Linked DNA regions of Schizosaccharomyces pombe. The gene in region 1 interacts genetically with each later gene. Each region holds a gene or a part of one and is shown in the gene's direction. Other genes may lie near its edges. The genes, in order: SPOM_SPBC1271.05C and cbh2.

Evidence for each region.
Region 2: mutations in SPOM_SPBC1271.05C (region 1) and cbh2 together harm fitness less than expected from each alone (positive genetic interaction), as found in Schizosaccharomyces pombe (one large-scale study listed by BioGRID).

What each region holds. Positions count from the first base shown.
Region 1 is NC_003423.3:360,628-365,461, forward strand, and holds SPOM_SPBC1271.05C (zf-AN1 type zinc finger protein, involved in ER membrane translocation), read left to right. Parts: upstream 1-2,222; 5' UTR 2,223-2,814; coding exon 2,815-3,462; 3' UTR 3,463-4,234; downstream 4,235-4,834. Other genes in the region: dys1 (eIF-5A-deoxyhypusine synthase), read left to right, coding at 4,788-4,834.
Region 2 is NC_003423.3:4,180,059-4,184,504, reverse strand, and holds cbh2 (CENP-B protein 2), read left to right. Parts: upstream 1-2,066; 5' UTR 2,067-2,094; coding exon 2,095-3,639; 3' UTR 3,640-3,768; downstream 3,769-4,446. Other genes in the region: pho8 (alkaline phosphatase), read left to right, coding at 1-185, 320-1,713; sorting nexin Snx41, read left to right, coding at 4,017-4,304, 4,423-4,446. UniProt on the Schizosaccharomyces pombe protein: Binds to the central core and core-associated repeat regions of centromeric heterochromatin.

The sequences.
Region 1 (4,834 bases):
AATAATCAGCATTTCCGTTCGATCCTTTTGGAAAAGATATTGCTATGATGATCGTTAAATTTATAAATTTTTGTCTTCGTGAATAAAAAAGTTCGCATTTTTCAAATGGTAGTATAAATAAAAAAATGTGTAAACAAATGGTTAAAGCAATTAGCAGGACAAAATGGAATGCAAAAACATTGTCGGAAAGTTTTACAAAGACAGTTAATCAACGCTTTTTTCCTGTTTTTTTGAGAGGTATGACGCTTTGCATATTCCATCTAGTAAAGCCACATATGACTGCGGCTGTATATTGGATTAGAAGAAAAATTAACAATGAGTAAAATAACTTTGCTATTGTTTGTCAGTAACCCAAGTTTTTCATTCATCATTTGCAACAAAGTCCTAGCTAAGCAACTTTACTATTTGGCTTCGATCGAAAAAAAACGTATCGGACATTTCCATAACGCAAACGACTTGTGATTCCCCTCTATTATAAAATAAAGATTGTATTCAAAAACAATTCAAAAAGTTACTTGCTCGCCTGACTGCTTATCCTATTTATGAACTGGATAAAGATAAAACCTGAACAGGTTCATTATTGTTGATATAACCCAACACGTCAACTACTGGAAAACAAGAACAATCAGGTCCAAAATATAGGGTTTCACTTCGCAATGAACAATAATGAATACGCAAATAAATGATTTTTACCTTACCCTTCAAAATTGTGGATTTTGAAACCGAAAATTTAGGTTGAAAAAAAGTTGAAGTGTCATTGACTAAACGAAGTAGCGTTGTTACCCACAATCACTAATAAATGATTATTGAATTCTTGGCAAAATAAAAAAGATTATAGAATAATGTGTTTTTGAAGCATTTTCATCTTTGACTTCTCTTGCTTTGCAAAGGATACCATCGTTGAGAGAACTTAGGGTAAAAATCGCTTATAAAAGAATGACGATTTCTTTTGCCGTAGGAAACTATTCCAGAAATATGAGCTATTTACTAAACTTTGTATCAATTTGGATTTCTCCCCAAGAAAAAGAATCTCTTAAAGAGCGTAAATCATGTTATAGAGACTGTGTTCGAAATTGATAAGCGGTTTGTTTATATGGAATTCATCAACGTTTCTCAAATGCCCAGATCCATTAAATTTGATCTGTCTTAAATAAATTTTGGATGTTGATTTTTAACTAATTCTTTTCTAGAAGATATTTGATAAAACCGAATTGACAATTTGATATCTGCATTTTTGTCATTGCTGGTCTTGATACATCTAAGAATCATTGATCTCTACTGCCTATCTGCCATTGATTCAAATATTATGCGTAAAAATAGATGTAAATTGTTTATAACATGATGATTGATTAACAAAATTGGCATACATTCTTGGCATTCTGGAGTCTTGAGGCCGATAAATAAAAACTTAAGAAACAAAGCGATCAATTGAAGTGAAATTATTGTTAAAAAAAGGGAAAAAAAGACATATTAAAATCAATTTTGGAATAAAACTTGATTTTCTAAGCGGCTTCGATTTAGCACTCGCACCTTGCATGGATACTCTGATCAAGCTCACGCCACTGATTTGAATGCGAATTAAAAAAAAGTCAATTCAAATAGTCATCAATAAATAATAGCAATAAAAAATTTAATCATAGACAAATTTGAAATAATATAACAATTATAGACGAAAAACCTGTAACTTAAGAGTAAAAGAACCAAGTAAACATATAGAGTTTAGTTGCTAACATTCATCCATTGCAATGCGCCCAACGTCTTAAGTAAGGAGACAAATACAAAATGCATAATTAATCGAATATATTAAATTTCCAAACCCATTTAACACCAGCACCAAGTATCCTTTGTGCACCAACTTGCTATCAATCTTGGTGGAAGGGTATTCATAAACAATTTAGCGAGTCGAGAGCTTTGCTGAAAGTTCAAGGTCGTCTTTGCCATCTCAAAACATTAATCCCGTTCCATCTTCCGTATCCGTCCTGCATTAGCATTCCCGTCCGTACTCTCTTAGGTGGCATCGGCATTGCCAACCCTTGTATTAGCTACTCTTGCCTACCAATATTCTGCCATTTTCATCCGTCTTAATTTCTCGTTAATCCTTCAATTGGAGTTTGAAAGGTGAGCATGATTATCGGCATTTAACATGTGTCTAGCGTCGGATCCCCTATCTCGCTTTGCTTTGGAATTCTCCCTTATCCGCTGAATTAGGAAGAAAGAAAAACATCCCAAAGCCAACCACCAAAACGTTCACAAAAGAATCAATTGTCTTCAAAAATTGATCGCCTGCCAAGAGTTTCCATAAATATTTAAAATTGTGAATTTTGAGTGTTTCTCAAGTTGTTTACTTTTGCCTTCTACTTTCCTACTGTACTTTGATTTGTAATCATCGATTTCACTGTTAATCAACAAGTGAATCACATTTTTGTTTAAAATTCTAATAGAATTACCTTTCTTTCGAATTTCTATAACCTTCTTTTCACCAAAATTCCTTGCCTAAGAAAGGAAGTGTTTGATTGTTTCTTGAAATCTGCTTGCTTACTTCATCAACCGAAACGCTTCCGTTGCTAAATATCTACGCGGTTTCTTCTAAATTAAATTGAAAATTGCCTTTTACTGTTTTTTAAATCAGTGTTTCCTTTGCTACAGCTTTTATTTTTTTTTCTTTACTGTCTAATCACTATCGTATCCGGTACGTTTCTTTTCTTCCTTTTCTTTTGATTATTTTTCGATTTACTTCTCCTTTGAAAAGTTATTTGTTTCATTAAATATTTCTTGCTTCATCCTCTACACCCTTACTATTGTTTTTGTAAAATCATGGTCCTGCTGCAAATTATCGCTTCACAATCTTATTCAATTGAAGTAGACGAGCATTCTAGTCTTGGAAATATCTTTGATTTGCTATCTGATCAGGGAATCCTCCCAAAAAATGCAAAATCACTCCATGCATTTTATTACCATGGAACTCGTTTAAACATGAATATGACTTGCGCTGATTATGGCATTATCCACGACTCTGCCGTTCATATTGCACCATTACCTTCTTCATGTGACATTGATTTCAAAGACTACTCTACATCTGCTTTCCACTTACATTTTTCCCCTTTAACTCCTAATCATGCATCTACGGAAGCTGTGTCGAATTTCAAGCAATCCTCTACCATTCCCTCAATTTCTAAATCCAATTTAACAAACCCTCCTCTTGAATCCGAGAAGAGTTCTGACAAAGCATTACTTACCCGCCCAGCGACTTCTAGAAGACGTTGTTGCCATCCAACTTGCACGAGGATTACTTTGCGCCTCGCTGGCAATTGCTTGCATTGCAATGGCAGATTTTGTGCTGCCCATCGTCTTATGGAAGATCATGATTGCGTTGCTCTTTTCTCTCTCAGAAAGGAAGAGCATGAACGCAACCGTATAAAACTTGAAAAAGAACATGGTGATACCTTGATAAGTAAAGTTTAAAATCCATTCTTAACTTGAACATTTTTACAAAACACCATCTTAGAACTTTTTTTTCTTCTTCTTAAGCTGGAGTTTTATTATTACTGTTATCCTTATTATTATTTTTAATGTTTTAGCTGGCTTTGTTTGCACGGGAGGCCACGTTACCTTTCCCGTCATCTTCGTTTTCTAAATATCTTCCCTTTGACGCTCCGAATTTTATCGTTCCTATAATTTCAATCAGTAATGATGGATCCACGATTTTTTGATCTACTTTTTTTCCCTTTTCAACAGCAGTTACCTCATTTTCGTTTGCATTTTCTAATGTTTTATTTGACTGTTTAATGAATAATCGTACTTCCATTATGATACTTACTTTCTATTTTATTTTTTTCCCGTCTGCCAAGCAGTAGGCTTTTGACATTAGAGCCATGTGTAATTTTCATATGCTCTTTCTAATATTTTACTATCCTCAACTGTAATCGTGAGTTGATTTGGTGAACTCGGTACCTGTAATCAAGCTTAATTGTTTCTATACTACTCTTATCTCTGTTCGCCACATATCTCTTGAATTTACCATCTGGTATTCTCAAAAACTTTTATGAAAAATTCATTGCTTTAAGATCAAAATTACTTAACTCCAGTTGCCTGCTGATTTGGTGCAATGTTTTAATACCTAGTGTCAGCTAACTCATTTTTTTGTGGGTTTCTTGGACTTGACTATCTTGTTTTTCCGATAGATTGCTGAAATATTTTTAAACAGATGAATAAATCTTTGAAAGTTGCTTTAAAATTTTTTTAAGTACTTAGATTTAAACCAGTTATAATTCCTTATACTTGTAATGTAAAGCCCCCTAGCATTTTCGCTTATAGTCATTTGAAATCATGTATTCAACTCTTTTGGTCGGCATCCGATCAAGTAATTTAATCGCATCAATCCAAAATTTATTTTAGTGATGGAAATTTTCATTCAAGTCAGGCAATTCATGTAGATCGATTTTCTACGAAACCCAGTACCCGGAACGTATATCGTAAAAAGTCAACGAAAACTGCTTTGGAAACTTTTTTCTTCATTTTTTTAGCCTTTTGTTTAAAAATTTTCATATTTTGAGAGAGTAATTAGAATAATTGTCATCTTCTCTCGGGTTTTTTGATAAATTATAAAAATCAAAATTGTTGCTTAAATCATTCGTGTTGTTAGAATTTTTCTCCTCTACACTAAGGGAATTGAGTCTTATAATATTTGATTTTCTTTCATTAAATAGACTCATTTACATATATTAAAAAGCTTTTTTTTTTTTTTGGAATTATTCAGAAATTTACCATACCGATAATTATCGTAAACCATGGATGAATCTCTAGCAAAGGACGCCGTTTTTGTAGCCTCTTCAAA
Region 2 (4,446 bases), 3.8 Mb from region 1:
TCTTCTGCCAGTGCATGGCGAGGGTCCGGAGAGCCCTTCTCGTAGAAATTGGAAAACTTGGATAAAACATGGAATTCTGTTAATCCTTGTTTTATCAACCGTTATATTTTTTTATTTTTTCTCGTCTCATAAGTCCAAAGGGACCAATGAGAAACCAAAATTTGTTATTATGATGGTTTCTGACGGTAAGTGATTGGAGTAAGCTCTCTCATAAATCCGTTGCTCTTTTGAAGGAAAATGATTTTTTTTATATTTAGAGCACTGGGACGGAATCTTCCTTTTTTTTACAATATTTCTCGGTGACTGACTTTTTTTAAAGGAATGGGACCTGGCTCTTTGTCTATGACTAGATCGTTTGTAGAGACTCTAAACGATAAAGAGGGTTATAGGCTTCCCTTGGATGAGCATTTAATTGGCAGTTCACGGACACGTTCCAGTTCGAGTTTGATTACGGATAGTGCAGCCGGAGCAACCGCATTTTCTTGTGCTAATAAAACCTACAACGGAGCTGTTGGTGTTTTGGATAATGAAAAACCTTGTGGAACTATCTTAGAGGCTGCTAAAGAAGCCGGTTACTTAACCGGAATTGTTGTCACAAGCAGAGTTACCGACGCTACACCTGCCTCTTTCTCTGCTCATGCCGCGAATCGATTCATGCAAGATTTAATTGCTGAGTACCAAGTCGGGATGGGACCTTTGGGAAGGAGTGTTGACTTATTGTTCGGTGGTGGACTTTGTTCATTCTTACCTAAATCTACTTATCGATCATGTAGATCCGATAACTTGGATCTTTTGAAATATGCTAGGAAAAAAGAAGGTTTCCAAATTTTGCTTAATAGAACTGACTTTGATGAGCTATCAAACGCTCAATTGCCTTTGCTTGGTTTGTTTTCTGATTATCATCTCAGTTATGATATTGATTATCAGCCTGAAGTGCAACCTAAGCTTTCTGAAATGGTAGAGACGGCTTTGGATGTTTTGCTCAACGCCACTAATGAAGATACATCTAAAGGATTTTTTTTGCTCATAGAAGGGAGTAGAATTGACATGGCCTCTCACAACAATGACCCTATCGCTCATGTTTACGAAGTTATGGAATACAACAGGGCCTTTGAAATAGCAAGTGCATTTGTAGAAAAGAATGGAGGATCTTTAATCTCTACATCGGATCATGAAACTGGTGGTTTGACTGTTGGTCGCCAGGTCTCCAAAAAATATCCAGAGTATTTATGGAAGCCGCAAGTCCTATCTCTTGCTCTCCATTCTATTGAATATCTCGCTTCAGCTATCGTGAACCATAACCAAAATACGTTGCTTCCTTATATTGAACAGTTTGTTTTACCCGCAATTGGCATTCCTGACCCTAATCCAAAGCAGATTCATGACATATACGTGGCCCGGCATAATATATTTAATCTTATAAACGTGCTTAGTGATATTGTTAGTGTAGAAGCACAAATTGGCTGGACCACTCACGGCCATACTGCTGTCGATGTAAACGTTTATGGAGTAGGAGAGGTCACTGAACATCTTCGAGGAAATATGGAGAACATTGAAATTGGACAGTTTATGGAGATATACTTAAATGTTTCACTAAGCGATGTAACTGAAAAGCTCAAAGATGCTCCCATACATGGTGCCCCAGATCGACCTAGTTTAGTGGAAACTTCATTTTCCGATCGTCTTGTAGGTTTCGGTGCTGATTTGTTTTAAAGCCTTTTAATCAAGATTGCCATAAATATATAATTTAGAATACTCTCATATATGCTCAGCTTATTTAAATCGCTTAATTATGGCATTCAAATTCTTTTTAAGTTAAACCTATTTTACTTCTTATCTTTTACTTTATTTAATTTCCACTGTGGTTGAGATATCCAACAATTGCGATTTAAGAGCAAACGAATATTACAATTATACATACAACTTGTCGCAATAAAGATAGTTAACATATCCATAACGAAAATATTATAATAATATTATAATAACAAACACGTTAATATATCAAATATCACAAACATATCGGGATATCATCCATATCATCCACGACAGCCGCGATTACCTCCCTTACAACGATTTTTTCGTAAACTTGAGAGAATGCCTCCATTGAGGCGTCAAGCGTTGACTTTAGCTGAAAAAAAAGCAATTAGAAAACATTATTTTGAGTCAGCAACTAAACCTTCGCAACAAGAGCTTATTAGTTGGTTCGAGGAGCACTTTCATAAAAAGCTAGCACAATCTACCGTTTCGTCAATTCTATCATCAAAGAACGAATTTTTAGATAATCTAGACGCAGAAAACTCTCAAATAAGAAGAAACCGCCAAGGAAAATATCCTATCTTAGAAAACGCCCTTATTGACTGGCAAACGAGGTTGCAAAAACAAGACGGAGCAATTACTGGAAACGCCATCAAAAAAAGCGCCGCAGAATTGTGGAGACGTATACCGGAGTACTCTGAGCTTCCGATTCCAGAATTTAGTAACGGTTGGTTAGAGAAGTTCAAAAAGCGTTGTTTAAAACACGGCCTTAAGTTACAGGGTGAATCTACTTCAGTAAATCAAGGAACGTATGAGGAAAACATGGTTCAAATACAGGAATTAATAAGTCTTTTTGATCCAAAAGACATCTTTAATATGGATGAGACGGGGCTATGCTGGAAACTTATTCCCAATCAATCTCCTGCGAGTGAACGAGTAAAAGGAATTACGAGAGATAAGGCTCGTGTCACCGTCACTATTTGTTGTAATGCTACAGGTTCTGAAAAGGCCCCTCTTTGGGTGATTGGATATGCTAAAAGTCCAAGGGCCTTTCGGCAAGCAAATGCTCATCCTGATTCCATGGATTTTCATTGGCGATATAATGGAACCGCTAGGATGACCACTTCCATTATGGAAGAATGGCTTCGTTGGTTTGACGATTTGATGAAGGGTAGGAAAGTTCTACTTATACTGGATAAGTTTGTCGCTCATGAATGCGCTTTGGAAAATATTCGCAATTCCGAGCGAAAGTTGGTAAACACGACTGTTGTTTTCCTTCCTGTAAATTCTACAGAAATTTACCATCCTTGTGGCCAAGAGATAGTCTACGCTTTTAAATCATACTACAGAAAATACTGGCTTAATTACATGCTTGAGGAGATTCGATTGGGAAAGAACCCCAGTAAGACAATGAATGTACTAAAAGCAGTTAGATGGATGATTCGTTCTTGGAACGTTGACTTTGAACCATCTATAATATACAATTGTTTCCTTCGTTCTGGGCTTTTTCAAAATCAGCAACCACTGACCGGTCCTTCTCCAGAAACCATTAGAATCGCGGTGAATTTGCAAGAATTGATAGGAAAATACCTTGGTGATAAGGATATTTTCCAAATCGAAAATTTTATTAACCCTATTGAAGAAAATTCTGCTGACACTAATGACGATATCGTTAACCAAGTTGCTGCTCAATTTCTTGATGAACGAGAGTTTGAAACCGATGAAGAAGAGGAAGAGTCACAGTATTTGTTATCAACAAAGGATGCGATAAATGCCATCAATACTTTACTAAACTTTCAAGAGCAATCGGAAGATGGAAATGTTTTGTTTACTCGAACATTACTTCAGTTTCAAAAGGTTTTAGAAAGCAGATCGATTGTGTAAAGGTTGTGGGAATTGGAAAATTTGTTTCTAACGAAAATGTACACATTTTCTATACTTTTAAATAATTTTTATAGAATATAAGAAAGATAAATAATTACAGTGAATTCTTAAAGGTTAACTACTAGACGTACTATTTCAATTAATGTGAGATTCGCGCTAAAAGCGTTTATAAACTCAATAAGATATATTGATAAAATAATAAAGTGAAGAATCAATTGTTTAAATTACGAAATTGAATTGGGACAAATTTTTTGTTTTGCGAAAAATAAGCATAGCGCAATGCATTAATCAACACAGTATGACTGTCTGTACTTGTCAACTCCAAACGCCATTATTCAGCATTGCAATTGAAATTGGACGTTGTGAGAAACAATTGAATGGATTTTTTTGAAGATAATAATCCATTCTCTGGCTCTGACAACAGAAGCGCCTCTTCTGCTGTCAATGTAGAGCCAAAAGTTGAGCCATCACAGCACCAGGGCTCTTCATCTGTCAAAGAGAATGCGATTAGCCAACCGAATGAGAGTTTTCAAAGTAGAAACATGTTTTTTCAAAAGGACGTAGATAGTGTTGTTGATTCAGCCCTCGATCCAAACGGAATTGTAATTACTGGAGCTATGAAGGCTGAGAGTGGATCACACATAGTATATATAATCAAACTTCAAGTAAGTTAAGGAAATTGGTTGATAATGTATTAAGTCGAACTATTCATTGTAGAATCCTTGCTTCATTCTTCTCTTTTGTTTGGAAGTATTGAAATGTTTGATTACTAACGGTTTTTAGGACTCAGAAATACACCATCGATAT